4 linked regions of the Drosophila melanogaster genome follow. The protein of the gene in region 2 purifies or fractionates together with the protein of the main gene of each other region. This does not show direct contact. Each region holds a gene or a part of one and is shown on either strand. Other genes may lie near its edges.

What was found.
Region 1: the proteins of CG14696 (region 2) and Mec2 purify together in Drosophila melanogaster (affinity purification with mass spectrometry, with the first as the bait; one large-scale study listed by BioGRID). This does not show direct contact.
Region 3: the proteins of CG14696 (region 2) and Prp8 purify together in Drosophila melanogaster (affinity purification with mass spectrometry, with the first as the bait; one large-scale study listed by BioGRID). This does not show direct contact.
Region 4: the proteins of CG14696 (region 2) and ref(2)P purify together in Drosophila melanogaster (affinity purification with mass spectrometry, with the first as the bait; one large-scale study listed by BioGRID). This does not show direct contact.

Annotation. Positions count from the first base shown.
Region 1 is NC_004354.4:19,186,379-19,193,841, reverse strand, and holds Mec2 (Mec2), read right to left. Parts: upstream 5,808-7,463; 5' UTR 5,728-5,807; coding exon 5,559-5,727; intron 4,809-5,558; coding exon 4,295-4,808; intron 4,203-4,294; coding exon 4,037-4,202; intron 3,958-4,036; coding exon 3,754-3,957; 3' UTR 3,649-3,753; downstream 1-3,648. Other genes in the region: CG14194 (uncharacterized protein), read right to left, coding at 1-10; CG7914 (uncharacterized protein), read left to right, coding at 394-1,341; HP1D3csd (heterochromatin protein 1D3 chromoshadow domain), read right to left, coding at 3,027-3,566; CG33253 (uncharacterized protein), read right to left, coding at 7,069-7,308, 7,399-7,463.
Region 2 is NT_033777.3:10,880,836-10,888,690, forward strand, and holds CG14696 (uncharacterized protein), read right to left. Parts: upstream 4,167-7,855; 5' UTR 4,000-4,166; coding exon 3,885-3,999; intron 3,080-3,884; coding exon 2,712-3,079; intron 2,653-2,711; coding exon 2,121-2,652; intron 2,058-2,120; coding exon 1,699-2,057; 3' UTR 1,598-1,698; downstream 1-1,597. Other genes in the region: Tpc1 (thiamine pyrophosphate carrier protein 1), read right to left, coding at 1-169; leash, read left to right, coding at 5,138-5,252; Ak3 (adenylate kinase 3), read right to left, coding at 6,825-7,475.
Region 3 is NT_033778.4:12,158,442-12,166,306, forward strand, and holds the start of Prp8 (pre-mRNA processing factor 8), read right to left. Parts: upstream 4,558-7,865; 5' UTR 4,444-4,557; intron 4,271-4,443; 5' UTR 4,253-4,270; coding exon 3,639-4,252; intron 3,583-3,638; coding exon 3,367-3,582; intron 3,307-3,366; coding exon 3,094-3,306; intron 3,032-3,093; coding exon 2,906-3,031; intron 2,863-2,905; exon of another isoform or gene 2,685-2,862; intron 2,626-2,684; coding exon 2,206-2,625; intron 2,148-2,205; coding exon 1,930-2,147; intron 1,873-1,929; coding exon 821-1,872; intron 759-820; coding exon 566-758; intron 530-565; exon of another isoform or gene 431-529; intron 343-430; coding exon 1-342. Other genes in the region: CG13177 (uncharacterized protein), read left to right, coding at 5,351-5,359, 5,421-5,480, 5,543-5,746; CG34232 (uncharacterized protein), read right to left, coding at 6,681-7,070.
Region 4 is NT_033779.5:19,539,527-19,547,907, reverse strand, and holds ref(2)P (refractory to sigma P), read right to left. Parts: upstream 5,441-8,381; 5' UTR 5,092-5,440; coding exon 4,920-5,091; intron 4,289-4,919; coding exon 2,807-4,288; intron 2,752-2,806; coding exon 2,606-2,751; 3' UTR 2,360-2,605; downstream 1-2,359. Other genes in the region: CG10337 (uncharacterized protein), read left to right, coding at 1,097-1,261, 1,483-1,705, 1,772-2,103; CG13081 (uncharacterized protein), read right to left, coding at 6,565-6,619, 6,682-6,859, 6,915-7,215; CG13082 (uncharacterized protein), read right to left, coding at 8,279-8,381.

The sequences.
Region 1 (7,463 bases), on a different chromosome or scaffold from region 2:
CCAGATTCATGTTGCTGAGGACACCATAGAGCTATGTCACTGGACACTTGGTACCTGGACACTAGTTGCTCGTGGGCACCCGCCGCACCGCGTCCGCTCCACGAAGCGATCTTCGCCCGAACAAGGCTGTGTGTTATGATGGAGTGGGGGGGCGGGGGCAGTTAGTACTCTACGCCTGGCGCCGATCTTTCACCCCTTTCCCTGTAGATATTCTGTTCTTTGTTTTATTTACACACTTTTTTGACTGGCATTTCTGTCCCGAGATTCGATATCGATAACTCTTGCCTGCTCTGGCGATTGGCTTGACTAAGGACTAGCCAGATGTCTGGCTACAATTCGCCAGATTTCCGGCTACGCTAGCCTGCTATCGATAGCCTCGATAGGCACAGGAAAATGTTATCTTATTTGGAAGATTTGAAGGAAAACGAGGACCAGCTGCGGGATTCAGACTGCTGCGGCAATGGCTGCACCAACTGCATCCTCGACAACAAGCCACGGCCAAGCAAACGCGTCCTGCTGGCTGGCAAACGCAACGTGATCCTGAGCTACACGAAGTTCCGCCTGTTGCGGCGGGAAGCGCTGGGACCCAATGGACAGTTGCTGCTCCTGCACTTTGCTCATGCAGCAGAGGAGGGGGACGGCGATGGAGCGGTGGACACGGTGCTTGACATCCCGCCCGGCCACCATGTGATGCTGCGCGTCGGCTCCCTGCTGCGTCCGTATTCGCCCTATTGGAGCGACTTTGTGGCCAAAGAGTTCCGTATCCTGGTGAAGCTGCAGCCGGAGGGGCCAATGTCTCGGCACCTGCAAGCCGTACAGCCCGACGATCTGCTGGAATTCCGTGGTCCCATCGGGCAATACGTACACGAACCGCAGCCGGCCAAGTGCATCTATATTATCGCCCAGGGAGTTGCTATTGCACCCACTCTGCCGCTGGTTCGGCAGGTGCTGGACAACGAGGAGGATATGAGTCGCCTGTGGCATTTGGTGTGCGCTCACGACCTGCTGCATGTCTACTTCCGCGAGGAGATGCTCGAGTTCGCCCAGTTCTGGAACTACAGGAGCTGCCTCTACCTGCCGCATCAGCAGTGTGACTCCTCCGCTTGCCAGGAGGCGGGCCACTGTGCCCAGCAGTGCCCTCAGCTCCGGGACAATCTACGCTACAAGGAGACGGCAAAGGTGTCCCGATTAGATGCCACCGAACTGGCCACCCACCTCAATCCCGCGATTCCCGGACAGCGTGTCCTCATCGTGGCTGGAGATTCAAGTTTTCAAAAGAACATCGCCCAAATAGCAACACAATCATTGGACGTAGATCCGGCAAACATTTATATGTTGTAAATGCCGGGAAAAACTGTAGTTGCTTATAAATATTTGAATATTGTTAATGAATTTGTGATCGTACTGGTTATACCGAGGGTTTTATATTTTTTATACCCTAGATTCGTTGAAAAGTATGTAACAGACAGAAGATATACATATATTCTAGATCTGGATCAATAGCCGAGTTGTTCTGGCCATGTCCGTCTGTCCGTATGAACGTCGAGATCTTAGGTACTATAAATGCTAGAAGGCTATCACGCCCACTCTAACGCCCACAAACCGCACAAAACTGCCACGACCACACTTTTAATAAATGTGTTGATATTTTTTCACATTTTGATTAGTCTTCATTAATTTCTATCGACTTGCAAACAACGTTTTGCTACGTCCACTCGAACGCCCAAAACTGCCACGCCCACATTTTTGAAATATTTTTAAATTATTTTATAAGTCGTGTAAGTTTCTATCGATTTAAAAAAAACTTTGGCACGCCCACTCTAACGCCCTAAAACCGCCCAAACCTGCCGCGCCCACATTTTTGAAATTTTTTTTGGATATTTTTTAATAATTTTATTAGTCGTGTAAATTTCTATCGATTTACAATTTTTTTTTTGCCACACCCAGTCTAACGCCCTAAAGCGGCCATAACTGCCACGCCCACACTTTTGAACAATTTTTATTCCCCAATATCTATCGATATACCAGAAAAATTCAGAAATTTCGCGTTCGCATTCACACTAGCTGAGTAAAGGGTATCTGATAGTCGGGGAACTTGACTATAGCATTCTCTCTAGTTGGCATTTGAAACTTTTACATGTTTTCTATACTTCCAATTAAGCATTTGAGTGTACCGAAAATGGAATGTGTACTTCCATAAAGGAGGAGGAGTTCACTTCTTCATCATCAGTAATACAGGTAACTCCAACTACTTCTACTGTTTTGCCCACACTTGCTACTTTTAATTGGTTATAGGGCATCTATACTTATCGCTGCTAAATGAACATATGGTTTTGGCCATCCAGGTGGCTCTTCAATCCATTTCGCTGTCGGCAAATCATTTACTTTGTTAAAATCTGAGCATTGCAGTTGCAATTCTCATACCAAATGTATCGATCGGGATTTAATTGTCTTTAAAAAAGCCGACTGGTTTTCGCTGTAATTAATACAATTGAGCGTCTGGTTATTCACTGGATGAATCGAAAGGAAACATTATGAATCCAATTGCCATTAAACATTCTCTATGGTCATCTTTTTATTTGACCTCCTGTGTCCACAACATGGTTATGATTCCATTTGACTATTAGTGATCCAATCTAATTCAAGTCATACCAAGTGGATGATATTTTAGGAATCAACCCAATTGGTGTTCAGATTGGAATAATCTGAACACCAATTTGAACATACCCTGTACCTTGATTTTGAGAAACAAATGTGTTTGTGCCTTAACAATTCGTTATTTCGAAACATTCTTTACAAAATAATTTGAATTACTTACAAACAATAAAAAGGATAATTTTATTTTGAAGCAAACTTATTGTTACAAGACAAAAACGAAAAAAAAAATAAAGTAATTTAACTTAAATACTGTGAGTTGATTCAAGATCTTTTAACATTTTCTTCATGGATGGATAATGATAATGGATAAAGTCAATTTGGAGATCTGCTCCAGTTATATTATAAATCCTCGGGCTTCGGAGGTTTTTTCAGTCCTGTAGCTTCAGGCTCTTAATGTAGTCAATGAGTAGCTTGGGGTGCACATGTTTGATCTCCTGAACAGGCACGGCTTCCCCCCACTTGGATCCCTTCCAGGTGACAATGAAGTAGACCGTGTCACCAAGCATATAGCTGTACATAACATTCTCAATTGCTTTGCCGCGGACCAGGAGCGCATCCGTAGGCGGCACGTTCAACGGTTGGGACTCATTGGAATTGCCGCCATCGAGATTCCCTGACACGCTGCCACCGTTGGTTGCATCCAGTTCTGCCTGTTGTACCAACAACTCGACGAGCAGCCGAGCCAGCTCTGCCCGAGCCGAATTGTGAACTCCCATGTGCTTTGGAGGCGGCGTCGAACCGGCCTCCTTGGATTCATCCTTTGTCGGCTCTTCCTGCACTTCCTCCTGCTGATCGTTCTCCTTCTGCTGATCGTTCTCCTTCTGCTGATCGTTCTCCTTCTGCTTTTCCTCCTCCGCGGGGAAACCACCTGTGTTCTTGTTGTTGGGGCTGTTTTCTTTGTCCGCCATCGTTTAGCAATAAAGTTCTCTTGCAAAAGTAAACCAAATGAATTCACGTGCAATCGTTAAATGAAAAATGGCGGCAAGTTTCCGATTGCTGAAGCTGCCAGCTAGTGCGAATTGCATTTATTAAAAAAAAAAAAAAAATGAATAAGACATTAATATTTTCAAACTCTGGCAACGCCCTAGATTCAAATCATAGGTTGGTTTTCGGCCAAGCGTCCAGTGCGTCTAAAACTATGTTATCTGACTTTTCTGGCGATTGCTTAAGTTCCGGTGGCGGGCCCATCAAGTGGGCATATTTGGCCAGATACGGAGTAAGCAGCTCCATGGGCAGAGGAAAGATAATGGTGGAGTTCTTCTCGGCGGAGATGCTGCTCAGGGTTTGCAAGTAGCGCAGCTGTGATGACAGAAAAATTCGAATGGCTGGTAATCCGTGCTCAACGATTGATTTCAGCTTTTACTAGGACAACACCCACCTGCAAGGCCGATGGACTGGCGGAAATGACATCGGATGCCTCCTTGAGCGCTGTGGCGGACTTCTTCTCACCCTCGGCGGCGATCACCTTGGCACGAGCATCACGAGCTGCCTCCGCTTCGGCGGCCATGGCACGCTGCATGGAAACGGGCAGGGAGACATCCTTGCTGTCAGCGGGTGAAGTGCATACAACGTACAGATGTTAAGAAATACTGATCTGATCTGATGGATGTCAAATGCCTACTAAATGGCTACTTACATCTCAACGCGCTCCACCATGACGCCCCACGGCTCGGTGGCCTCGTCCAACGTGGCCTGCATATTGTGGGCCAGGGTTTCGCGCTCGGTTAGCAGTTCGGACAGGTTGCGAGTGCCGACGATATTTCGGAGCGTGGTGGCCGCCAGGAGGCGAGTGGACATGCTGTAGTCCTCGACCTGGATGACCGCATAAAGGGGATCACTGATGCGATAGTAGACAACGGCGTCCACAGTGACCGTCACGGAATCCTTCGTCAGCATCTCCTGCTGCGGCACATTGAAGGTAACCGTGCGCAGGTCCACCTTGCGGTACTCATCGATGCACGGCAGGATGAAGAACATGCCGGGACCACGAGCTCCGCCGCTCAGTCTGCCCAGCCGGAAGATGATCGCCCGCTCGTACTCCGCCACCACCTTGAAGCATATGAAGATGGCGATGGGCGATGTGATGATGAAGATCAGCACGGAGAACAGGGTGACCACCCATTCCATGCAGCCCTTGGGCTCGTTCTCCGCTGCAATGGGATGTTAGGAATATGAATATGAAATATTCATCTACAAAATGGCCATATTTCAGGCATATGTGTACAATAATTGTGCCGCAAGAGAAACGTAGATAAGTCCACTTCAATTCGATGGCCAAGATGAAGTACCTTCTTTGTCCGGATTCCGAAGAGACCAACTTATTATTAAGTAAAACAGGACTATGATGGACTATGTAACAACTTGAAAAAGAGAAAGCTGTGAAAAGCAATAGCCATCACAATCAAAAAAAAGAAAACACGGATAAACACCAATCAGCCCGCTTATCTTGGAGTCCAATAAAAATTCCTACGATTAAAAATATAGACAGGTGTAATATATATGCGCCAATACAATTAGAATGTTGTAGCAATTGACGATTATGTGGGATTACGATGGAAATCAAATTGCTACTAGTACTACTTTGATAAAGCGAGAGATAGTTTGTATTTTTAGAACTCCTATCTAGTGAATACTATTAACCGAATCAAGCGGTTTTGCATGTCTGAAATATTGTAGAATGCTTTGAGCCAAAAACAAACTTTTCACGCGATCAAAATGCTGTTGCAATCTTATCTGAACCAGCGATTCCAAGAAATCGTATCTCAATCGATCTAAAGTGATTAGCGCTTGACAGTAAGCAAAGACTTGTTTTTTTTTAACAATAATAATTCTCCTAATATTGGCCGGGATGGGTCATCATCTTGCTGCATCTATAGTATACACCGTTTCCGCCCGCTTACAAGTTTTGAATCCACGATACTGCTGCGTGGTGCCGGGCACTCGAAGTGCCGGCTCGGGTGCCATGCCGGCGGCGCCCATGTTGACCATGTACGCCGTGGAGCTGGCCGGCCCAGAGTTGCGCATATCTTCGTAGTTGGCGTACACGGGCGAATCCTGGTGCGGCTCCATTGCTGTTTCTCTGCTCCGTTCTGGCCTACGTTCGTTGCTCTCCGATCGGCTATGGATTCGAAACTGTCGCCAGCGGTCAGCGCCGCAAAAGCCAAACTGAATGCCCAAAAGCGTTCTCACGTGATAAGAGCGCACTGGTTCTCTCAGATACGAAGTATCGCATTGGCATTATCGCTACGCTGAGCTGCCGAGCGGCTTAAATGCGATTCAACAGTGAGAGAAAAGAAGCACTGCACTGAAACACCACGAACCAAGTGTGCCGCCACTGAAAGAGGCGATCTCTAGTCCGTACATCCTCCACAGCAATTGAGCACATGCCATATAAGAGAATGTAATGGAATGGAATGTAAATGCATCGGCTCGTAAATTTTCGTTCAGTGTAGTGTATCTACGACCGGGGAAACACCAAGAGCCGCTCTGTAAGTCGAGAGCCATGGGTCACCACGGATGATTCACTGCACTGCGCCGAAAGAATTGCCAACTGGAGGCGTACACTTTCAGATTATTCCGACCGACGATCAATGAAAGCCGAGTAAGCTCTATCTGGCCCAAGTGCGTTTAGCACTTTAATCAATCGGTTATCTCAGCTGGAGCATTGAGACGCAGTTCTGCTTTGGGGTCACGGGTCATTGGCTGGAGCCACCCGATGGTGACTCAATTCTGATCTGGCGGTCACATTAGCACTGAAGAGCTTATCTGCCACACTCGCTGAAGTGGCATGCAAATCTGAGTTATTTAGATAAGCGAAGAGCAAATATGTACATACATATATATATATCATATATAAATGTAAATTTTGTTGTTTCGAAAAAGGGGGAAGAACTGAAAAAAAAAATGTGTTTTCTGAATCATTTGGTTTATTTAAATGGTTAGCTTTTACCCTGGTTTGTAGTTAGCTATTGTTATTAATTCTTAAGATACAAACAAATAATATTGGTTATTTTAAATATAACGTCTCTACTTAAAACGACTGTGAATGAAGAAGGAAAAGCCTTGGAAAAGCCTCAGTTACTATTGCATACTAAATTCGACATATTAGAATAAATTCTAAAAAAAAAAAATTTATTTTTAAGTCCGAACCATGTTTGAATCTCTCCAGAATCTAGGGAATTCCATGGCACTTTCATTCGAATTCATTGGTGACTCATTTTCCGGATTTTCCGGACAGTTCCGCTTTCTGTCGCTGCTGCCGCCGTTCCACTAGAGCAAGAAACCCACGATGTCGTCATCGTCATCCGCCGCTCCCGCTGCAGCCGCTCCGCTTCGCTGTTGCTTCTGCTGACGCTGCAGCTCGCAGCGATGCAGTGCCTCCAGATATGGTTGCAGCACCGACATCGAGCGTCACTGGTGGTGTTGGTGCGGGTGTCGATGGAGTGGCGTGCCAGGAGCCGCAGGATGTTGTTGTTGTTGGTGCTGATGCTGCTGCTGTTGCTGTTGCAGCTGCTGCTGGTGTTGCAGTTGCAGCTGCTGCGAGTGTGCTTGGGTATTCAGGAAGGGCGTGAGCAGCTCCATGGGCAGCGGGAAGATGATGGTCGAATTCTTCTCGGTTGAAATGCTGCTCAGTGTTTGCAAGTATCGCAACTAAGTAGAGAAGAAGATGGAACGAATGAAACCATTTGGGCCAGTTCCAAATGTCCGATGGTTGGATTCAGATGGAAGAAGATGACTCACCTGCAGGGCGGATGGACTGGCCGAGATGATCTCGGAAGCCTCGCGCAGAGCCCTCGACGACTTCA
Region 2 (7,855 bases):
GGAAGCGGATCTTTAGCACGTCCAGCGGCTGGCAGGTGGAGCGCGTAATGGCCGCCGAAAGTCCACCGGCCAGCATTTGATGCAGCTGCTCCCGCGTACTGTGCTTGCGTCGCGGAACGGGAGTTGTGGTTGTGGTCGCCTCACTGGTGGAGCCTGTGGTTACCGCCATGTCTGCGTCGGAGCTACCTTTGGTTTTGCTTTTCGTGTGCGTATGTTTGCTCGTGCGGATTTCACTTTTATTGCTGCGACTGCCAACTTTTCAATGGCATTTCTGAAAATAAAGAAACGCAGACAGGTGGAGACGTTATTACAGTCGGAACTATGTAGATGCAACTATTAACTCGGACTTAGCAACTTCTATGAGGCTGGATCTAATAGGTATAGCTTATATATTATCATAAAGAATTTGTTTTGAAGGTTACTTGTAATTTACTTGACTCTTGTGAAATTCAAGGTAGATGCTGTTAAAAAGAAAGCTTAAGATTGTTTCTTGATAAAAATGAAATATGCTAGGTTTTACTGGTATCAAAGATGGAGTTTTCGAAAATCCGACTTAGCAAAGCTTGCCTGTAGCTTTCATTCAAAACGTTTTAGAGGTGCGGCAGGGCGCAAACTTCGACTTGTTTACACACATTCATCAAAGTCGATGGACAAATTGTTGTGTACAAGTGCGTAGACAGGAATTGGGAAATAGTAGGAGTGGAATTCATCTGAGGATGAGACTTACAAGTATCATGCTCCACGGAGCGTGCGTATGTCTCTGCGATTACTTCACTATTATCTCGGTCGGTTATGGCCAATTGCCCGCCAATTCGCAGAGCTCCCAAGTTGACTCCAGGTTCAAACGGCCGTTCATTGATTGACAATAGCTCGGTTGGTATTCGGGTTTATCAGCGATTTCACTTTTTTCCGCTTTTGTTGTTCGATGTCTCGGCGACCGTTGTCCAGTTCCCAAAATTCCGATGCTGCTGCTCAGATAAAGAGACAAAGGCATTGGCAACACGCTCGATGGTGATGATGATGATGTTGCTGAATGTCCAGAGCAGCGCACTACAATCTGAGCTCACCTGGAGCAGATGCGTCCGTTCGCGGGCAGAGTGCAGCAGTGACTGCGGCGCCGACGCTTCTTCATTACAGGCGGCGGCCCGTGGATTGCGTCAAAACTTTCTTTTCGCCAGACTTGTAATAGCGCCGCCGTTGAGATGCCGTTGCAGTTGTGTCAATCCCCTGCTGCCGCTGTCCAAGTTGGCCGCTTCCCACTTCCACAAACTGGTTTTCCGAATTCAAGACGCGCTGCTTCAAACCTCTACGCAACAACAACAAAACAAACTAAATTACGTCGCCAAGTGCACGGAATCAGCTGTTCGAGCCGCTGGCGATGAGCTTTTAGCGAACAGCGATGGCAACTATCGGCTATCGTGGTTGACAACAATAGTAAGAAAATAGCTAGAAGCTAAAATTCAGTTTTAGGGTTTTCTTAATTGGGAACATAAATATTTTTTAATAGTAAGCATAATTCCTGAAACCAGATCACTATGTTTATACTCGAGTTAATAAAAGGCCATTTAGGATTAAAATGATACTAACTATCGATATTAATATAGCTGTCACATGCACAGCGTTGCCACTTATGCGGGCTTTCTTGTATATTTAAAAATGCCTTAAGGTGTAGAATACAAAATGGTTAAGTTATGGTCCCTATTTCCACCCAATGCCGCCAGTGGAAGAGGCGGCTGGAGCACTAGGCGTGGGTTTATAGTCTGGTGGTATACTGAATCCAAGCACCTCAAAATTACCGCCTGGCGGAGAAGCAACAGGTGTGTTGGTCGTATATGGTGGCGATTTTTGTGCGGCTGGCGACACAGGATTTGGTGTGAATTTCACAGGCGTAGCAGGATGCGCCTCCTCTGCCTTGGGATAAAGACTGGGAAAATTAGCTGCCCCGTTTGAGCCATTGGTTCCAGGCTTCCCATCAAATGGATAGACGGGATATCTTGGCTTAAAGGTGTTGGACTCGAATTGCTCATCGCTGACGTCCTCCTGAAAGTTGGGTGAGCCTAAGCCGGAGAAACGTCGATTAATAACACTTTCGATTATGCTTTCTTTAGTGCAAAACCCACCTGGATGAGAGGCACCACTGGGCTGGGACTTCTCCGCCCCGGGCCCCTTGTCATCAGCACTTCCCAGCAGCGGCACTGTGCCAATGGTTATTGGAAAGTCCATGACCAAGTCGCCACCACCGTGCAGCTTGAAGGTCTTGGCGATGAATCGCAATGTGTAGCTAACTCGAATGGGATCCTTTTCGCTTTGCGTGGATGGAGTAGTTGGCGGCACCGTGAGGAACTCATCGAACTTGGCCTTGTTGTGCTTCAGCACCTCACCGCAGTGCTTGTCCGCCACCCGAGATTCGGTTACCTTCAACTGCTCCTTTGCGCCCGATGAGTTGGCTCTATATGAGACGTTCTTGATCAGACGCACCTTCACGTCCATACATTGGACATCCGACTGGTTGTCCAACACCAGATGGAAATGAATCTTCTGGCCGGGGACGTAGGCAGAATAAGAGGTGCTCACGTCCATGATCATCGGCTTGTGGGCACCGAAAATGGAGCCCCACCAGAAGCTCTTCGACTCCAAGCGTTGGAGGGGTTCCTAAGGGAAGTGCGCTTCATAAGGTTATTCAGTTTGGAAGAACAACCAAGACTACATACCTTATACTCGAGCCGCCTATTAAGATCATGTGGCAGGATCACCGTGAAGCACTGCTTAAATGTGTTGTTGTAGCGAACCGCGCGATCGATGGTTAGGGTAACCTCGTGCTTAATCTGACCATGAGCACCATTGAATGAGGTGGGTGCATTGGGCGGAATGGTAGCCCGGAAGGGAAAGACGTACTTGCCGGTGGGCAACTCCAGCTGCGAGCCACCGGCCTGGCCGTAAACCGGCTGGTCAGTGCTGTAGTAGACCTCGGTGGTGGTGTGGGTCACCAGGGACTTGGTCGTCTTCCCATCCTCTCCCACTCGCTCCTCGCTTTCCTGCCAACGCGTCTCGCCGTATCCATTTATGGTTATAAAGATCGCTGCAATTGGATTAATTTGTCTGTACTGCCGGGTATGTAATTCAATTATGCATTTAGTTTAATTGCCATTGACCTTGGACCTTTTGTGTGTTTCGGATGTAGAATTGTATTGGAAAATTGCTCAGCTACAAACAACTGTCTTTGTTAATGAACTAACAATAATTTAATCAGAAGCATAAAAAAAACGAATGCTACCTAATAAAGTTCACCATCAAATTAAAGCGCTGCTAAGGCTCGACTATTTGATACCCTAGGAAATATTTGATTATTTGAATTTGAACCGATGGCTAGGGTCCACTTAGCTTGCTAATGGGATTTGTATAAATTTATATATATATGTATATCTGCATGAATTACGCCTAATTGACCCAAAATGCTACCTATACACTACAATTTAAAGGTATTGGCACGAACGGGCTGACCAGTAACTGAATCAAATATCTAATAATACAAACAGCGTACGCAATTTCAAAACAAAACTAGTTTTTACGCCGCTATCAGATATCCGCCAGCCAGCCAAGCGGCCACATGTGTGTTGTATATAAACTTTATGTATACATACATATATGTACATTTGTATATACAATACACATCTTTCAAGCATATCTACCGGCAACAATAACATTAAACCAGCGGATAACAAAGCACCAACAATATTAAGTGGATATTTATTTATTAGTGGATGGTAAAACGGTATGGGATTCAGAATTTGAATGGTGATGGAGGGGGATGACGTCATGGTTTCGAGTCCATTAGAATACATATGTATGTAGTGCGTCTTCTTCCGCATGTCGGTGTCACTTACATCGAATCGTCTTGGGGCGCTCCGTAATCAGTTCCGCCGTGCCGGAGATAAGCTGACCGGCTTGATAGAGCCCCAAAGGATTGCTGTCGAAGACGAAGTTCACCTTGCTGCTCATCCTGTCCAGAATTGGCTCCTTGGCGACGGTGTCGGGTGGTATCGCGCTATCAAGTTCCTTTGTTTGTTTTATTGATAGTTGGTGGAAGAGGTAGGGATTCGATGTATTCGAGGGTTCCGGCGACTCAGCTCGCAAGCTCCGAACGCGAGCAGCTCTGGCTTAATACTGAATTCTCAAAAGTCTTTGGTGAGACCGAAGAACCGAGAAGCAAACTTTTGTGCGCGAGAGGTTACAAGAAGAAGAAGCGAAGGACAGAACGGGGAAGCACACGAAATACTATATGGAGCATTATGCTGCTAAGCCAACTAAAGTTTAATCTTAATAAAATATGTATGTATGCTTCAATCATCGCTGACATCTAAGCTGAGCGTTTTGTTATCTATACAGTAAAATATTTGGTAATTATTATTCGTAGTGAAATATATCAACTTAAATTATTGGCGATATTCAAACAGAGAGTTTCTTCTTCTCTTTTCAAACATCAAACCATAAAAAAAGACCATTACTACCAAGCATTTCTGAACTCTTGCATTACAACTGAAAACAGTGCATTTAAGAAACGCTGTTTAGAACTTAAACTTTAAATTAGACACATTTGAAAATACCGATTAAAAAGTCTGCGAATTAACCGCTTCAGCTGGCCAGGCGCCCGGTGGCAGCACCGCGCAACAGCTGTTCGTGCTATCGGACCGCCGCTCTCACGGTTATCGAAAGAGAGCTGCAGCTACAACAAAAAAGCGTAACTCACGGATCTCGTAAATTTATAAGAAATTTAATTATTCAACCCGCCAGCGGACGACAGCAATCGAATTAAATTAGCCCGGGGTGTGCGACCAACACTTGTGGGCCATTGCGAATTGATGGATATCGAGATTCCCCAAGAACTGGCCACAATCAGCGCGAAAAAGCTCCCACTCACCGCGCGGTGTGTGTAGTAACATCAAATCGTAAATCGTGAGGCGAGTGCGTGTGGTGGTGCTACTATTCTGCATATACTTTAGGGTGGTGCGGGCCGTGGTGCTGCAGTGCATCCATGTACGTTTGTATGTGGCGGCATTTTGATGACGAAATTATTTTTGGATAAGTGCGTGAGGAAAGTGGCCAAACCGGAGGAGTCATCACCATCAACGCCAGCGGAATGGAAAGCGAGCGGCTGCGAATCACGCTGGACAGCGCGGATCGGGTTTACTTTGCGGGCGACATAATTCGCGGCGAGATCTGGATGAACGTCAACAAGCGCACCAAAATACGCGGTAAGTGCCAGTCGAGCATAACTTGCCGCTTCCTGGAATGCACATCTCAAAGCTCGGCTTGCATCATCCATGACTCAGCTGTAGACACGCAGAGAAAGTGTTTCAAAACCCTACATTTAACGTTAGGCTCTTAGTTTATGATTCTGGGTATTGTTTACATGTGTACATATAGATCGTATTACCGAAAAGATTTAGCTTAGATATAGTAATCTAATATTAACAAAGATGGTTTTCTGCACAACCCATCATGTACTCCACAAATAGAAATGTGCTTTTTTCTGTTTTGTCAGCGGTTTGCAATCCATTGTCCGCCCGATGGTCAGCTGGACTTTCGTTGCGGCCCCATTCGCATAAACAAAGAACTCCATCAGTTAACAAAGCACAGCGGCCATTTTATGGGGCTTCCTCCCCCTCCGCTTCACCGCAATTTCGAGATTCTTGCTCGCAAATTCCTCTAATTGCCTTCGGCGCTCGCCTTTCATTCATCGATAAGCTTTCAATTGCCGCCCGTTGCAATTGCAATTGAATTTCTTTTCGTTCTTCACGATTCTTGAGTACTGGCATTTGTTTCAGGAAATGCCAACCCAAACGCATCGCGCGAGAGGGGAGTGTAGACGGTGGGGGCATGTGCGAAGAGAGGCACACTCAGTTGGCGTGCCGAAAAAGCCGTAATATTGGGCCAAGCGCAAGTCGGGTCTAAATGAGAGAGAGGTGAGAGGGCGCTCGCAGCACAGTGGTGGCCACAAAGGGGTTTATATAGGTTTTTTTTTTTAATTATCCAGAAATAAGATTCCCAGTAATGGTATATTCCGAAGTATAGTGTTTAAAAGGCAAACAGCTATCTCCATTTTATTATGAAGTATACCTTTAAAACAATAAGTGGTTTATTGAATTTTTTATAAATGACTTAAAGAATTTTAAATCTGACATAATTGGGCGCCCTTGACTGTACAAGCGCCTCTCTGTTGTGATTTGCCACTATACAGGTGTGCGTGAGAACAGCAGCTGGTCCGTGCATGTGTGAGTAAGAGAGCGCGAGACTAAACGGGAGCGCCACACTATCCCATATTTTTTAGAAATTAATGCGCTACGCGATAAAATGAAGGGCATTTGGGTGTCATGAGGTGAAGCTAAAAGTGTTGGCTTCACGCATGGGGCCAAGGGTTTGTGGACATTGCCTAAAAATAGATCGACGGCTGTCCGTTAACTGCCCAAAAGTCAAAGTCGGCTGTTATCAGCGCATATATATATATATTTATATATATAAAAAACGCGATTTATTATCAGAGCACAGAATACGAGTACAAAAATATGTTTATACAAAAAAGGGGGGAGCTGCAAGACATGCTCATGAGGGGAATGATATCTGTGGAAGAAGGAATACATGACAGCTGCTACTGTGTAAGGCTTCGCAATTACATTAATTATACGCCTGTTCCTCTTAACCGGCCCACAAACATACATATTTCATACGTATTCATTTATATATATCTAAATATATTATGCACTTAATTGAACACAGCAGTTTATCGTTAGTTTGTGCACATTGGATGTAATTTCGGGGTTGCTCCATTACGCATTTATGCGGTCGTTGAGGAAAAGCTCCATCATCGGCCAGATCTCCTTTGTCTGTTTTCCCTTGAAAGTGGCAACCAGACCCTTCTTTTCGTACCAGGCTATTACCGGGCTCATCACCTCATCGTAGAGCTCCAGTCGCTTGGCCACCACATGGGGTTTATCATCTTCGCGTTGCATCAGCGGCTCCCCCGTCACATCATCTTTGCCAGGCACTTTGGGATTCTTGAAGCCAATATTGTACACCCTGCCGGAGGGCGCATGGATCCAGCGATTCTTGACCCGGTCGATAATCACACTATGTGGAACGTCCAGCGTGATCACGGCATCGATTTGCTCGCGTGCAGCCAGTGCCTCGGCCTGGGCTATATTGCGCGGGAATCCGTCTAGGATGTACGACCTGTTGCCTACCTCGGTTATCCGGGCCAGCATCGTCTTGGTCACAATCGCGTCGGGCACCAGTTTACCTTCAGCAATGTACTGCTTGGCCTTTTTTCCAAGTTCTGTGTTTTTTATGATGTTCTGGCGCAGAATGTCCCCCGTGGAGATGTGCACACATCCATGGTTCTTGCAGATCAATTCCGAAATAGTTCCTTTGCCCGAGCCGGGGGCTCCGATTATCACAGCGCGAAAGATTTTCGTAAACATGTCTAAGCTCTAGTTCTTCAACCTCTCCTTGAGCTGCAAGACAAAAAATTGAATTGATACATGGTTAAATTTAATATGATATGATAAAAAAATTCGGTTTATCTATTTAATATAGGATCTGTTTTTATATTTTGATTTAGGGTCAATAACATATAATCTTGGCAGTAAAACCAAAATTATTTCAGTTGACCATACTCGACTACTTTTATGGGCGATAAGACTATCAAGCACGCCACAATTGTTTGATACAGAGGTGATGAAGGTCATAGTTTTCGCTAAAGCTTATGTGTTTTATGTGTGACTAATCACGGGAATCCAACCAATGATTCCATTCAATTTGTGAGCGAACACGGCAATAAAGAGTGGGTAAATATAACACT
Region 3 (7,865 bases), on a different chromosome or scaffold from region 2:
GGAAATCGTTCGGCATTTGGGGTGGGCCAGCCATCTCGCTGGATCGATGAAGACCCAAAACCAAGAGATCTAGCACCAGTCCATAGTACTGTGTGATGAACGATGAGAACTGCAGACCGCGAATGATGCCGTAGCTGTTCGTGTGGTTCATGTCCTTGTAGTTGATCACAACGTTGTTCTTGGCCGTCATGTAATCGGCGATATTATGATCGACAATCAGGCGGAGCAAACGATTAAGCAGCGTCAAGTCAATTTTCTCGTACAGCTTTTCAAATCTAGACTCCAGCAGCACATTGCACTCGCCCTCACCCACATCCCAAACATCCTGCAGATTGTTAATGCCTGTTGAGGAGAAAAATACGAATAAGCTAAGCCAGAGATAGTATCAAAGGGGTTCTATATTCCTTTTTTTTCCATACCACTGTGTATTTCGCAGATCATCTTTGGCGTGAGGTTTGCAACAAGGGGATGATCAAATACATATCACTTTGCTACAAATCACACACCCAAAATGCCCGGTACCGCCGTCAACTATGTTCTTTTGAAACCAGTTCCAACTTTATACCTTGACACCACTTGTAGGCCAACAATGGTGGCGGCTCCGTGTCGCTGGGCTTGATCCATGGCGGGAACAATCGACGCTTGTCAGCCTCATACCACAGATACTGATCCAAATATGCGTCTGTAATCTTTTCCAGGGGTTCCACTTCGTAGACTGGAATCAGATGGCTGTACAAGTCCATGAACTCAATGCCCACCTAAGATAGTAATACAAGTCTTAAAGTTATTTCAAATACAGATAGAAATAGTGATAACTAACCTCCTTGAAGGCTCGCTGCGTGAGCAGATGACGCTTGATGCGGGACAACGCCTCGTGAGGATTATCGTAGGCCTGTTCGATGAGGCCCAGCTCCTCACGCTGACTTTGATTCAGCCTGGACTTAACGCTATACGCCTCTTTTAGCCTCTCAAGGGCCAATATTAGCAGCTTGGTATCGTGTTTGTATGAAAGTGGTGGGAAGGGAATGGGCGCAAAGCGACGTGATTCCAGCCAATGGACCGTGGTTGTGTAAATAGCCACAGCCTCCTCCGGTGATATGTACGGACCGTCCTTTAAGTAGTTGTGCTGCCTCTCCTGCTCCGCCTTCAGATAGAGTCGCGTTAGTCGCCCCAGATTCTTCTTGCACACCGTCTTATCGACGGTTGCTCCACGTCGTATACGTTCCCGATTATAGTGAGCCGTGTTTGTCCACCAGTCGGCTTTCATTTTCACGTAACGCAGGATCATATTCTCAATGGGAATGGGTAGACCAGGCACCTTCCACGGAATGTTCGCTTTCCAGCAACGCCATGCCTCCGATAAATGCTGCAAAATGGTACGAGCTTTGTTCTGCTTGATGCCCTCGGGCATCATGTCCACAATATCGTGCATCACGGAGGCACGCAACTCCAGATCAAAGTGGGACTCAACACGCTGCTTAGTCACCGTCTTGGCCACACCCTTGGAGTGACGACCCTCGAACTGACGCGACAATAGATTGCCCAGCCAGCGTTCCAGTAGCGGAGTGATGCCGCGCATAAAGAACAGCCAGACTCGCCATCCAGGTGCCCAAAAGCCACATCCGGGTCCCTTGCCCACGGGCCCCGTGTTGAAGCGATAGTATATCAAATGTTTCAGATCCTTACACATTCGAATCTGCCTCATCAGCTTGTATTTATAGCGATACATGCCAGTCAGCTGGCCAACATGGGCGAATATGTACTGCAGTCCGTCAGCCAACTGAAAGGCGTCCACATTGTTTAGCCGATACTGAACATGAGAGTCAATGATTAGCTTGGTCAGACGCAGGATCTCACGGCACAAATGGAAAGCTAATAGGAATGAAAGGAATTGATAAAAGGGAAATTTTTAGAAATTTAACTGCTTACCATTTCCGAATCGCGACTTCTTACGCTCCTTGGTGGTCAGAGTTTTAACGGGCTTCAAGTTGAAATTGTAATCTAAATGCAAGTAGTTAAGATTTTTTCGGTGAATCAATAGATTCAACATGTTATATCCCTGACGACAAACTTGCAGTCCAGCCTCAACCCAATCCAGAGTTGTGGTCTGGAAGAATTTTGTGGCCTTAAACGAACGGAAGAGGTAGCTGCAAAGTAAGGATACAATTCAAAACGTTTCTATAGTTTGATTTAAATAAAACTCACCGTTTCTTTTGTGGCTTTGGTTTGCGGTGTTTTAGGGCATTGAGCACATAGTATTTGAGCAGTTTCTGGTAGCTAACGCGCACCTTAACCGGATGGCCAGGTGGACAATGCTCCTTGTACCAGCACTTGACCAGCGGCACATCGATGGCACGACGGGAGCGACCAGAGCGCATGTTAAAGGGGCGGGGTGCCCACAGCAAGGCGATTCCGTTTGCAGTGTTGTCAGTGTACAGGGGAGTGTCCTGCAGGAACGGCTGCACGTCGTCCGGAAGAGTAAAGTCCTCGTCGTCATCAGGTAGGGGCTCCTGAATCTTCGAGTTTGCATTGCGATGGGATATGGGATTGATGAGCGGATCAAAGTAAAATGCAGGCAGATCGGGATCTTCGGTCTTGATGTAGACCACGTTGGGAGTGTGATACCTGAAATAGACAAAGTACATCATGTGGTCATGTGGATCCTCTAAGCTACAAATGAGTTTATATGTATGCAACTATCAGCAGTCACGATTAATTCTTAACAATCGCCACGAACATATTCATTGCAGCTCCCGTTTTATCGCAAATTTGGCAGTAACCTGGGAGCTCGTCGTTTTTCTAACGCGGCATGAAGCATTTCCAGAGAGGCTGATCACTTGGAAACGTTTCTAACCACGTAAATAAGATTTTAGAATGGTAATTTTTGAAGAATGTGGACTCTTACCAGCTCAAATGCACAAAGTGTGGCATATTGTTGTACAAGTAAGGAAAGGCAATGCGGTATTCCGTGCGAATTGGCTGCCGGATAATGACTTTGTTAATGTCATTGAACTCGTTCCAATCCTCGTCCCTAAAATTAAATAAAAGCAGGAATTACATTTTAACAAGTATTTAGGGTATGCATTGTCTTACCCAACATTGTGGTCCTTAATGAGGGGTTCAAACTTAGGTCCTCCTGGAATGGCCATATTAAGAGCCTTGGCGGTGAAGAAACTTTTTGGGTCAAACAAATAAAAGAAGTTATTGTCGACTAGATCGGTGAGCAATTGATTGGCCAATCGATACAGCGTGGCTAGCTGAGGCAGGGAAAGATTCCACTTTCGGTAGGTAGTGCCGTTCACAAACCTTAGATGGTAATAAATGAATCAAAACAAGATCAGATATAAATGACAAATCAAAACTCACTGTGTATCCACTAGAGGACGATGGTCATAAAACCATTTGTATACAGCATTGTCTTCGTCATTGTCCAGCTCAATTTGAATGGCCTCCAAGGGCTCCACGTCCAGCACGTTGTCGGCATAGTCTAGAGGCGGCTCTTCATCGTCAAATGGCGGGAATCTCATGCGCTTAAAGTGGCGACGATCGCGTTTCTCACGCCGCATCATGATCCACATTGTACTGCGGAAGTGTTTAACGTCAGTTGTGTCCACGAGGACAAGTTAAAGTCAACTTACCCCCATTGTGCTATGTAGACGGGCTCAATAACCCAGGGAATCTCATTGACAAAGGTAATGGCTCCAGTGATGTGGTACAGCACCTGGACATCCCGGATCTGCTCCCATGGCATTGGCATGTTCTCTAGCAGCTTGAGCACAGCATGTGGCATGTACTTCAGGGCGCCGAGATATACTCGCTTGTCATGACGATACTTGCGCGACGTCATATCTCCGTGATCGCGAATGATCTTCCTGATGTGCTCCGGCGGCATATCCTCCTTCTGGGTATCCACGAAGCCAAACTTGCGCTTCTCAGCGAATCGCTTGGACTGCAGATGCTGCCATTTAAGCGCCTTCTCCTGCAGCTTCTCCTCGGTGAGTATGTCCGGCTTGGGCGTGGGAATCTGGCCCAATCCGGGTCCCTGACCTCCCACCGGGATGGGTATACCGTTGGTATGGCCACCGGCCGGCGGCAGCGGAGCCCCCGGTGGCGGAATCTGCTGAATTTGGTTGGCCATCTGCTGCTGGGCGTGCAGTTGAGCCTGCTGAGCATGGGCAGCCGCGTAGGCCTGCTGGGCCATCAGCTGGGCTGCCCACGCATTTTGTGGTATCATGTACGGCGGAATGGACATCGTTCCGCGGCACTTATCCTAATCAATAAACGACGAAAAACATACACTTTACGACACACAGACACGTTTTGTTTCAGGGGGAGAAATCGAAATGCCGCCGCCGACGTCGCGGTCTTTTGCAATTTTCACCACGCTGTGAAAAAGCGTAAATTTCGCTTTTCCCCCAGCTAATCTTGGTTTGAATATCTTACCTGGCAGTTAATTTGCAACTGTACTGCCTATTTGGCACTTTTTCTGCCTTTCTTTGGCCGCAATTCACAATTTTTCCGGTTCGCAAAACGAGAGGTTTACTTTTTCATGCGGCAGCCATTTATAGAATAGTAGAACGGTCACATCACTCAATCGATAAGACATCTATCGTCTATCGAGAGATTAGGTGAATTGCTAAACAGTCTAGTGGTAAAAAGCAGTCAAGATAACCACACAAAGTGCGAGCAAATTTGAAAATTTAAATAACGGTGTTATTGGGGAATATATTACAAATTCACCAAAACTGCGACGACTAAAACTAATTAGCCTTATTCACTTAAATTACTTTGTATTGTAGTAGTAAAAAATATCGAGACATTAGCATTTTTAATTAAGGCTAAATCCTTGTAATTAAATCAATGAATCAGCTCGTCAACAAATGTGTTAATATTAATAATTAGGAACTTAATTAGTGTAGTGCGTCAATATTATTGTTGATGACTGGTAAAAATAAGAACACACAGTCGACTTTAGCTAACAACAAACCGAATAAATAAAACACTAAATAACTTTTTCTTTGGCCATTAACTAATGCTCACTGTAGCTTAGAAATTCAAATAACCGAATTGGAAGATCCCATCGAGTCATCTGTGATAATGAAACACCTCATTTCGCATCGGGTAACGACATCCCCAGACTCCCGAATGTTTGTCCAATCAATGATCATGTGCAAAATCGATCCCCGGGACGTTTTGGGCCACTATAAATATTGTCGGCAGGTCGCTGGGGATCACAGTTTACGGACAACAACGCTTCTGGCCAGAACACGATCGGGAAAAGTTGCTAATTTGAGAGAAAAACATAAAATCTAGAGTGCATCCCCGTTAAATTTCGCAAATAAAAGCAACAATGGCAAAGGTATTACACACAAACAAAAAGTGTTTCTATCATAATGAGTAAATGTTGTGAACATTTTCAGTTATTTTCCATCCTTTTGTGCCTGGCTATTATCGGATTCATCAGCGCAGCTCCTATAGAGGTAGGTCATATCTTTAGTTTTTCCATTTCAAAACCAACCAACAAAATCCATTCGCTTGGCAGGACAAGAAACCCGCTGAGGAGGCTGATCTCTCCACCGCGGACTCCATTGGCTACGGCTACTATGCAGCTCCATCGCCAATTTACTACGGCGGCTATGGAGGTGGCTACAAGTACGGCGGATATTCCGGTTACGGCGGCTACGGCGGATATCGCTCCTACGGAGGCGGATTCTATCGTCCCCGAATTTACCCAGTTTGGGGATAATACTATGATGCCAGACCGAAAAACGTTCCTTAAGCAAGAAGTTTCAGACATATGGACATACGTTCCTTAATCCACAAAATCCTATGTAATCGCACTAGTGACCAAAGAAGTTATACAAGCAAGCCCCCCAGTTTTGAAATTTTAACCCTTTCACTGTCTTGCAACGACGAGTTGATGACGTCAGCGGCAGTTTTTGACCCCAGAGCACAATTAACACCGGCTTTATTGCAATAAAAACAAAACAAAAACAAAAAACACTTTACGTACGACTACGCTCGCATGTGTGGTTTATTATTTTCAAATTTCAATTGTCCAAAACCGGATTTCTTTTTTGTTTTTTGAACTTCCAAAGAAATTGAGGCGGCTAACGTAACATACATAAGCCGGCCAGCAAAATTCCGAGTTGGCCAAGTCGAGTAATTACACACATCTGAACCTTTAGTTGGACCTATCTTTAACGATCCACATGGCCAAATTTCAGGCCATAAACGGGGTCACAAGAAAGCTGGTCTATACAATGGATATCAGCCAGAAGTTTATATAGTATATAACTCTTTGTAAAATTTCAAAAGAAAACCATACTATAGAAGTTAGTTATTGCGGCCATAAACTATTTAAAACTCATAATTCTCTGAAATACTACCTGTTTTTCAACTTAAAATCCAAGTTAAATGCATTTCCTACATCAAGTGTTCCAAATTATTAAAAGTTGAAGCTGCTTGTGGATATTAATATCATTTATGAAATGTGTGTTTATTTGGTCATGGCTTATATTTCACAGTAGTTTTGTAAACATTTAAATAGATTGGCTTTACTGTTGCCATACATGCAATTATACGAGTGTTTACTGTATTCGGAGTTTAATCCTCGCATAAGGAATCCATTGGCTAGAGTTTAAATAGAATATATCCTGGCCACAGGATACAGGATTATCCTAGTGGCGACGCGATCCCGTGTGCCGCTTGTGATGCTGCTTGCTGCCCTTGGAATGCGATCGGGATTTGCGGGTGTGGTTGTCCTGCTGCTGGCGGTGCTCCTTCTGGTGGTGACTCTTCTTGTGGCCCGGCTCCTTGTGGCTCTGCCTGGCCTTTCGCTCAGAGTGATGCGCTTGATGCTCCTTAACGTGGGAACCACCATGTTTCAGACTATCATGGCCCGAATGCCTCACCTCCTGGAGCTTTTGGTGGTGGTGGTGGTGCTGTTGCGACAACTGGCGCTTGTGGTTCAGATGATGGGTTCGCTCATTGTCCTCCAGTGGCTGCATGGCCATGGCCACGGCCACCAAGATAGTGGCAAAAACGATAATCTGCAGCGGGCCAAACATCCGGAGTAATCAAGGTGAATCGATGGGTATTGATAGTAAATTAAATTGAAGCCACTTTCATATCTGAACCGGCGATTAGATTAGGTCCGCCCCTTGGAACCACACACTCACCGCCTTCAACATGATAGCTTCGGTATAGGATATGGACTTCAATGCCTTCTTCTTCTTCTGTTTCTGCGATGCAAAGCTCTCGGATCGTGTAAACCCGGCGACGCTCCAGTCTCGACTGTTTTTCGGAGACTCTTCCGCCGCCGTTTATATCGTTATCTCCTCATGCGAGTGCCCACAGCCCACAGCCCCTGGCCACCATATCACATAGATGGGGTATATATGTAAATATATTCGGCATGTTTTATCGTTCATTTAATGGGCAGACAGACAGACGCACAGTGGAGTGAACAGCTGTTGAATGATTTTCGGGCCAAGATTAGCTGGGAAAGTACTCAAACCTCACAGTTCTTTTCAAAAATATTACCCAAAACTTTACAATTTAATCGGAAAGAGTAGTCAACTTGAGATACTATCTATCAGGCTCATCAAATCATAGATACAGATACAAAGCATAACTCTCTGTAAGTTACTATATATGGATTGGTTAATATTCTTTAGAAATGTAGCTATGCTTTTGAATCATTGAAGCCAAAAGTGCAATAATTACATTTAAAGCTTAATGTGATCATGACACTTTGATTTTTAAACTGGCTCTTCATTTCAATGAATGACTGCTGAAATCCAATTGATATTGGCGATGATGTCAAATCTCACGCTTTTTTTTATTAATTTAGGAGCCCCCGT
Region 4 (8,381 bases), on a different chromosome or scaffold from region 2:
ACAAAATGTTTTATTATTCCAAATTCCTAGTCGGTATATTTTAAGTTTGGAGAGCCGAAAAACTGGCATCTACATACATAAATATGAGATAGTAAGGCATACATGGACATGTGTCGCGATTATGTCTATCTCTTCGGTTAATCACTAAAGTAAATGAAAATAGAAATGAATCCACAGAACTATCTATGGTACATATGTAGAGCTACTCAAACTCTGCTAATCCTCTCCTTCAAATCTCATAACGCTACCTCAAAAAAATGACCAATTTAATAGATATTATTTTTGTAGTCGGATAAGTATGAAAATTTATTTAACCGTATATTTTGTATTAGTACAAATGCGCTGTAGGAAAGTGTTATTGTGGGATATTCCCAATCATATTGTTCGCTTCTTATCTTTCTATTTGTTTCTCCTTTTGCTGTTTATTCGTCTCGCATTTGCTTTTGCTAGCAATTTCACAACATCGATCATCGAAATCAACTATTTAGGGTGGACCTAAAAAGCACAATTTAACGTAGTTCAGTCTACGTAAATATATATTCTAAACGCAGAACTTGAAATAGAGAGATTATTCAACATTCGGTTAGATTTGTTATTACTTAATTTGATCTTTAATTAGGAAATGGCAACACCCTTGACTCTGTTTTTGGGAATCACTCATGGTGTATTCACCATGATTAACGCCGGTCAATTATCCAATCCGGTTTTAGATTGCTCCAAAAATACCGATAATCGCATGTCGTCCAGCTGGAGAGCAATGCCAATCGCTGCCACCTGTGGCCGCTGCCGCCTTTCCCGCCCCAAGGTGAAAAACACGTGAACGGGTCGATCCGCTGAGTCACTTTTTGCAAACGCCGCGCTCCACTGGCTTTGAAAGTTTGATTTTTCGGATAACGCTGGCGGAGCTTTCGATGGCTTTTTCCAGCTGTTCCATGCCGTCAGACTCTCAAAAGCGTTCTAACAACCGCCACGAGCAGTCGCGATCTTCGGTTTCGGTTTATGGTGCCCAAATACTTGGATTCGTCTTATCGGTTCTACGTGCGCATCTCACGTAGCAGATAAGTGATTTTCGCACAGCTAAGACATCCTCAGCATAATGACAACTGCCGAATTGCAAGGTTCCTATGGAGGCCTCTACTTTGGCTTCTGCACACTGATCTCGCATGTGCTTCTGGCGGGGATCACCGTAGCCATTGTTTACAAGTGTCTGGTGCTCAAATTGGTGCACACCGCCGGACATGCCTTCTACTGCACAATCGGCGTAAGTATTTTGATTTCGGATATTAAAAGATTTAGAAACATATGTGAAAAAGTGAAAGTTTGAGGCCACGGTTAACAAATAATCTAATGGTTTCAAGGATATATATTTCTCGAGTGAGAGTTTTCTGTACCCGGAAGACCTAAATATAAACTGGTTTACTATCTCCTGAAATTTTTACCCGTCCTAAATCATTGTTCCATCTATCTTCTATTTCATTATAGTTTGTGTTTTTCATGGGCGAAGCATTGCTGGTCCGGAATAGCGCATATTTGGAGTCCTCGTTGGGTCCATTGAACCTCAACCGCCTGCACGCCGTCCTGGGGCTGTTGGCATTCCTGGTCGGAGCCGGCGGAATCGGAATCAAGACATGGCAGAAGCTGGAGCGCAAACGGGAAGACCCCAATGCCACCGTTCGTCACTTTAAGAGCAACCATGCTTTTTACGGTGTGTTCTCGTCGGTTCTTTTCCCAAATATAATGATAATTTATGCCTCCATCTTTCGCCCATCAGGTATAATCGGTTGTGCTCTTCTTCTGGGTAGCGTTCTGAGCGGTCTTCCGCTGTATTTCATCAACAGTGGCTTCGCCTTGAAAATGCTTCATCGATTTTTCGGATTGTCCGGATTCCTCGTTCTGATGGTATCTCAAATGTTCGGATATAACACGGGATTCGGTCGGCGACAGTGGAAGGCACACCACCAGAAGCTCTTCAAATTTTTCACATTTATTGCCACCATTACGACTGCAAATTACGAACTCCGGAGATTTGTGCGAGATGTTGCCGGCTTGGCGACAGACTATTTTATTGGATCAGATGCAGCAGAAGCTAGAGAAGATCTTTGAGGCTCTTTCGACAAGCGAGTAGTGTTCACACTGGAATATCAATACTACAGGAAACGAATCGAATTCCGAAACACAGTATTGTGGATTTGTGTATCACTCAAGAAATAATTCGAGTGCTTTGCGGATTTGAACTCTGAAAAACCAGAATCGATTTATACCATACGTATAAACACATTATCTAAGTGGAGGAGGCTTTTGTTGTCTGTCAATCGTACTCTACTAAACAAAACCATATCAGGTATAAAGCAGGCATTTTAAATCATTTTACTTTGTGCCTTTATTGCAATTTCACACATACATATATATACGATAACATTTTGTTGATTATTTAAAACATAACATATATCTATTTTCACATTTATTTTGGCTACGAGATAAATCTAGCACCACAGAAAAACTAAGCTACGTAGTAAACTGATACGATAAAGTAAAATCCCTTTTTCATTGGGTTCTATAGATATTGAAGATACATTGTAGATATATCGATATTGAATATGAATATTTAGTTGCGGTTCTGCGATACGTTCATTACGTCCAAGGCAGCTGAGATATTGCCCTGAACCGACTCTAGGAGCTGGGTTAGCCAGGCGCCCTCGTTGCTGAAACCCATGGCCATCATGGCATGGATCGATTTATTGATGCTTTCATCTAATTAGGAGACATAATTAATACAAAGCGATTAGTTATTTAATTCGGCACTTACCAGTGTGGTAGACGGGGACCGTGCGCTTGTCGTCGGGAGCTGCTGGGGAGGTGCCGACGCTATTGGTGGTCACCGATGTGGTCGAGGTCGATGTACTCACCGTATCAACTTGAGCAGTCTGGGTGTTGGCCGAAGCCTGCTCCACGCGAGCCTCCTCATTCATGTGCTGACGCAATAGTTCGCCCAGCTGACCAAAATCACGCACCGGCTCCTGAGGAGCAGCAGTGGGATTGGTTGTGTCCAGATTGATCAAGTTACTATTGTTTGCAGAGTATGCATTGTCAATAAGCTGCCACTCTGGATCCAAGCTGTCTGAACGGCGTCTTTCCTGCTCTGTTTCGGTGGTGGTTTCCGATGGCTTAGGATTCAGGGGCTCTGTCTCAAGCTGAGCATCAGGGATCGAACCAGAAATTGATGGAGTGGCCGACTGGTTAGCAGATGGGACATTAGACTGATTAGCCGATGGAGCGGCAGAGGGAACAGCTGACTGGTTGGCCGAGGATGCCCCCGACTGGCCACTGGATTGACCCTGCTCTTCTGGTTTCTTATTCTCAGCACTGGGAGTCGTTGAGGGCGCAAAAATTCCCGAATCACCGCCCTCAGTGGTATCGATAATCTTGGAAAACATTTCGCTGAAGTTATTAAGGATTTCGATGCCAGCACTCATGTACTCGGGTGGCACAATCTGCGAAATGTTATCCAGATTAATCACTGGAGTAGTTGGCTGAGTGGAACGTGGAGTCGTCACTGGATCTTCGGTTCTAGGGACACTTTGATCAGTGTTAACCTTCTTCGGCTCAGTTGGTTTGGCCTCGGATTCAGCTGCCTTTTCAGCGGTAACAGTGGGCTCAGCTTGTGGAGGACTTTCAGTTTGTTCTGCAGCCTTCGGTTTCTGCGGTTCGGCTGGTGCCGTGGCCGTTGTTGTGTTCAGCGGCAAGTTGGTCATCATCTCGACAAACTGAGTCAAGACTCCGGCATGGCGGCGGGCCTGACGCCGTTCACGGCGACTATCCCTTGCGGGTTCGCCAGCAGGATCTGCCTGGTTCGTCTCCTGAAACGGGCAATGTCCCCTGGAGCGCCGGCCACTGCGGCGTCCCAATCCTGGACCTGTGAACCAGGCATCGACCATACCGGGTCCATTGTTGGTCGGCATGCGTAGCATCAAGTGCTCAGGATGCTTGTGAGCCAACTCGCATTTCTGGCAAAGATCATAGTTGCTGCACTGAACGCACTTGTAGCGGAACCCAATCAAGGGAGCCAAGCCGCAGCCATCGCATTCAACGGCGTCGTGGATGGTGAAATTGCTCGGATCGTCGACAGAAGGAGCTTCAGCGTTGGCCGAAGAACCCTCTTGCTTGGTGGCCTTTGGCTCCTCTACGGGCGCCAGTGGAGCCACCTGAACGTGCATATTGCTCTCGCACTTGGCCAGGAAAATCTCATAGTCATTTTGGTTGACTATTTCGATTTCATCTTTATCAGCGTCTGCAAAAGTTAGAATAGGCAAAGGAAAATAAAATCAATTATGAATCAGTGAAGTTTTGTTATCAAAGGTGAATCACTGAGGGCTCTAGTTAGACAAATTAGCTACAGTTGTGGTTGTACCAGCACAACCCGTTTGATCTATGTAAATGTATATGAGTACATGTACACATACTTTACAAATTAAAAAGCGCGTTAGATGTATTTAAAATATATATGTATAATTCGAGAATTCAGAAATATGTAAAATCAAAAATGTTTTGTATGTGTGCCATTTATGAAACAGTGCATCTAATATGTTGACCACGTTTGTACCATAAAAATATATATGTACATATTTATCAGCTAATGTGTCAACACAATTTTGCCAATGATAAGCATTGAGCAGGAATACTATCTAGGTGAATCCCTGCTTTGTTGGGCAAAGTACGCAATAATTTGGGCTGGTTTTTAAGTAACGAGACTTAAAAGCTAAATGGTCAGCACTGCTCGGACGGATGCAGTTATGTATGGAAACGAATGTACTTATACCATGCACATATGTTGCAATCTTTGCGACTCGATTGCAATTGCGAATAACTGTTTGTATGTATAGCAAACATTCACTCTGCGGCATTTTCATTGTAAAACTCACCGATCCAGAAGGTCCTTACGTCGCATTTGGGTAACTGGCGCTCCTGGAAAAGATACAGCTCGATTTCGCGACGCAATATGGTGTAATTCTGGGAGGGCATCCGCAGGTATGCATTTATCTTTTTCTGGGGTCCAGCGCCCTGGTAGGTGATTTTCAACAGCTTCTCCGGCATTTTCGCAACGTATTCTGTAGTTTCGACAGACTTTTGAATATATGTATGTATATATATCGATGCTGACGCTTTTATTCTCGTTTAACTTGTTGCGGCGAATTTATGTGACGGATTCTATTAATTTGGAGCTCTCGACTACTGCGTAGTTTTTGTTCGGCCGTTCGATTGTGTATACAAGTGCAGCTGGGTGAGAGCAGGTATATATACTAGGCGAACTAGTTGCTGGAAGGTTCTTGAATGAGTGAGGCTCAAATTGTTGCAAATCACGGTGCTGCCTGCTGGGCTGCACTAGTTAATCTATCCCCAAAATTGTATTGTAATGCCAAAGCTGGTCTTTGGCAAAGATTAATAATACTTCGGTTATCGATAATGAAAATATTTTTACGCGGCTCTATCGAACTCACCACTTTTAGTATTTTTACATTCACATTTTGCTTTACATAAAATTTCGCCAGAATATCGATATTTTTACCCATTAAAACTTCACACATACATACGTCAGTTTCTTATCGATATCGAAATCAGCAAACCCGAAATATTGAAAACCTAATCTAAAGATGGTTTTGTTTTATGAAACTTGGCAATCTAGGTAATCTAAAATGATGCCTCTGCGTTCGTAATTTTCTTCGGAACTATAAAAATGGGAGGCAATAAAACGGTCAATCTGAACTGGGGTAATTGGAGGTTTTTCAAGATGTTTTGAATTCCGTCGTAATGCATTCCCTAGTAATATTGATAGGTATCAAACTGGAGAAGGTGAAGGGTGATATTTATATCTAAAACATATAAAGGATGGCGTCCTAATCATTCAATCCTTCAAAGGATTGAACTTCCAAATCGCGAGGTTCACGTGAACATTATTTCCGAATATACATATATATCTTGATATCACACGAAATTGCCTTCACGAATCTTTACTGAATGAGACTGGATTTATTCGCGGTCTTAAAAGCTTTGAAAACAATGTCCTCATGGAAATTAATCAATCGATGATGAAAATCAAAACAGAAAAAAAACAGAAATCAATTGTCCGGGATCTAAAGAAAATAGGAATGAAAAGCATATGATTTCGGAGTTCTCAAATCGGACGATCTGCAGATATCCACTATTGGATGCCGAGTCTTGCTTGCAAATTAGCTCCGCTTTCGAGGATTCATCTCCAGACTGAGCTTTCTATTGGATTCCCAGAAAATTTTAATTTTTTTTATAAAGATAGTTGACACACTAAGTTAAAATAAAAAAAAAAAAACATCGTATGTCATGCTTTTCAATATTTATATATTTTGAATGGAAAAGTGATGGATGTTTAAAATACCAAGTACTGTACAGTGATTTTGAACTTTTTAAATATTGTTCAGTGGAACAGCACCAATGGGATCAACGGAAATTTAAATTCGAAGAATGATTTTATTTGCTATGTATTTTCCAAGAACTTAGGACTAATTTCTTGTCATAGTATCTAAAGATATCATTTTAGGCCTTAGAACTTTTGAGCATCTTAAGCAATTGGAGCAGTTGAGTTGGAGATCTGAGCAAAAACCATCTTTTAATTAGTTTCTAAGCAGAATTACATATTAGTGCTGTACTAACCGGCTGGCAGTTTGAGAAGCTACAATTTGATGTTGTCTGCTTTCCAAATTAATCTGGGCTAGCTCAGGAATCTTAGTTACGCCCTCGGTGGAACCAGAGTCTGTGTCGGTCTCAGGATCCCTCTCGTACATCTGAGTTGAATCTGGATCCGGTGTAGATTGGCGCAACAACATTTCACCTGGCGTGGAATTAGTGTTATGTCGGCAATTCGATTCTATTACAGTAGTACTCACTCAAGTAGGACTCTGCCATGGAGTAGAGCAAGCTGGAGCTCATTTGAGGCGCCATTCCGATGACGACCCCATCCACTTTGAACTGATAGTTCTCCCCACCCTTTTGCCGTTGGTCGTATAGAATGTCCTCGCGCTGAAAACCATTCTCGGAATAGTCGTCGTATAAGACGTCCAGCAAGTCGCTGATCACGTTCCTCGAATTCCCTGGCCTAGTCTTGCCGCCAACGGGCTGGGCCAGAATTCTTCCAAGTGCCACAAGCAGCAGGGCGAACACAAACAGCCGGTTGGTGAACTTGCACATGATGTTGCCCAAGCGAAAAGACCGCAGGACCGATGTGCTCCAATGGCGTGCGTTGAATGATTCCAAGTTCTCGGCCGCTGTGAAGGCGAGCCCACCTGGACCACAACTGGAGACTGGAAGACCAAGAAAACCCGATTTATGGACACAGTTCAATGGCCGCCTCCAATCAGCCCAAAGACTTCCGCATTGCCAGGTTGCTGTGGGAATCTTTAGCTCCGCGCATTTCTAATGCTTCCCAGCAGCCACGTTCGAAGTCCGTTCCATTCGAGAGGAACTATCTGCCTTGTGTTCGATCTTCTCCGGCTCCTCATCTAACCCATTGTCGTTCGCAGATATCGCATTGAGTTTCAAGAAGAAACTTCTTTTTTTATTATTGTGATGAGTTATTTTCACTCATCTTGCGCCAATTTAAATTTGTTTAGTAACCCAATCTCTGTAAGCATGATTCCAAAAAAAGTTAACCCAATAACCTCAATTTGCCGCAAAAAGAAGTCCAAAATCTTTATGGCAGTGCTAATTGCCCCGCCTGCAATAGACACAGCTAGATCTCTTTCAGTTATCTAGTCTGGGTGCAGTTCTGGGCGCGGGTTCAATGACTTGGCCACAGGAAGGGGCTGGCAGCCACCTGCAAACTGGTTTCGCACATAAATCTCGCGTACATCGCAAACTATGGAGCACCTGGCCTTTGGCTCTGGACAGTAATTGCCGTTTTATGGCCCCAGGAAGGCTATCCAGACTCCAGCCTCATCCTTCAGCGCATCATTAAAGCCGAACTCGAACCGTTAGATCCAGTGCCCACTTCCGCCGTTGGAGCATCTACATAGAAGGTGATTTGCAATCTGAAGCTAACTATTAACAAAAAGTTATTAGCCATGTAATGGTGCTTAATGTTAGTCGCAAATAAATCATCTCCCATATTTGCTCCTACTAACGAGCAGTTTAATCTCAATGTCGATTATGTTTTCGTATTTATTAATAAGACAATTTCGTCGGCTTAATTCTAGAGTGTGCAATGTATGAAACTAACATTTAAGCTGGCAGTCTGGCGTTCTCACTCCTCCGCTTAATAGCCCTCGATCTGGCGACATTCGCCGTAGCTATCACGACGTTCTCCGCGAGCGCAGCGCGCCAGTCCGTCCCGGAGGAGGGTTCGGGACTCGGCCAGG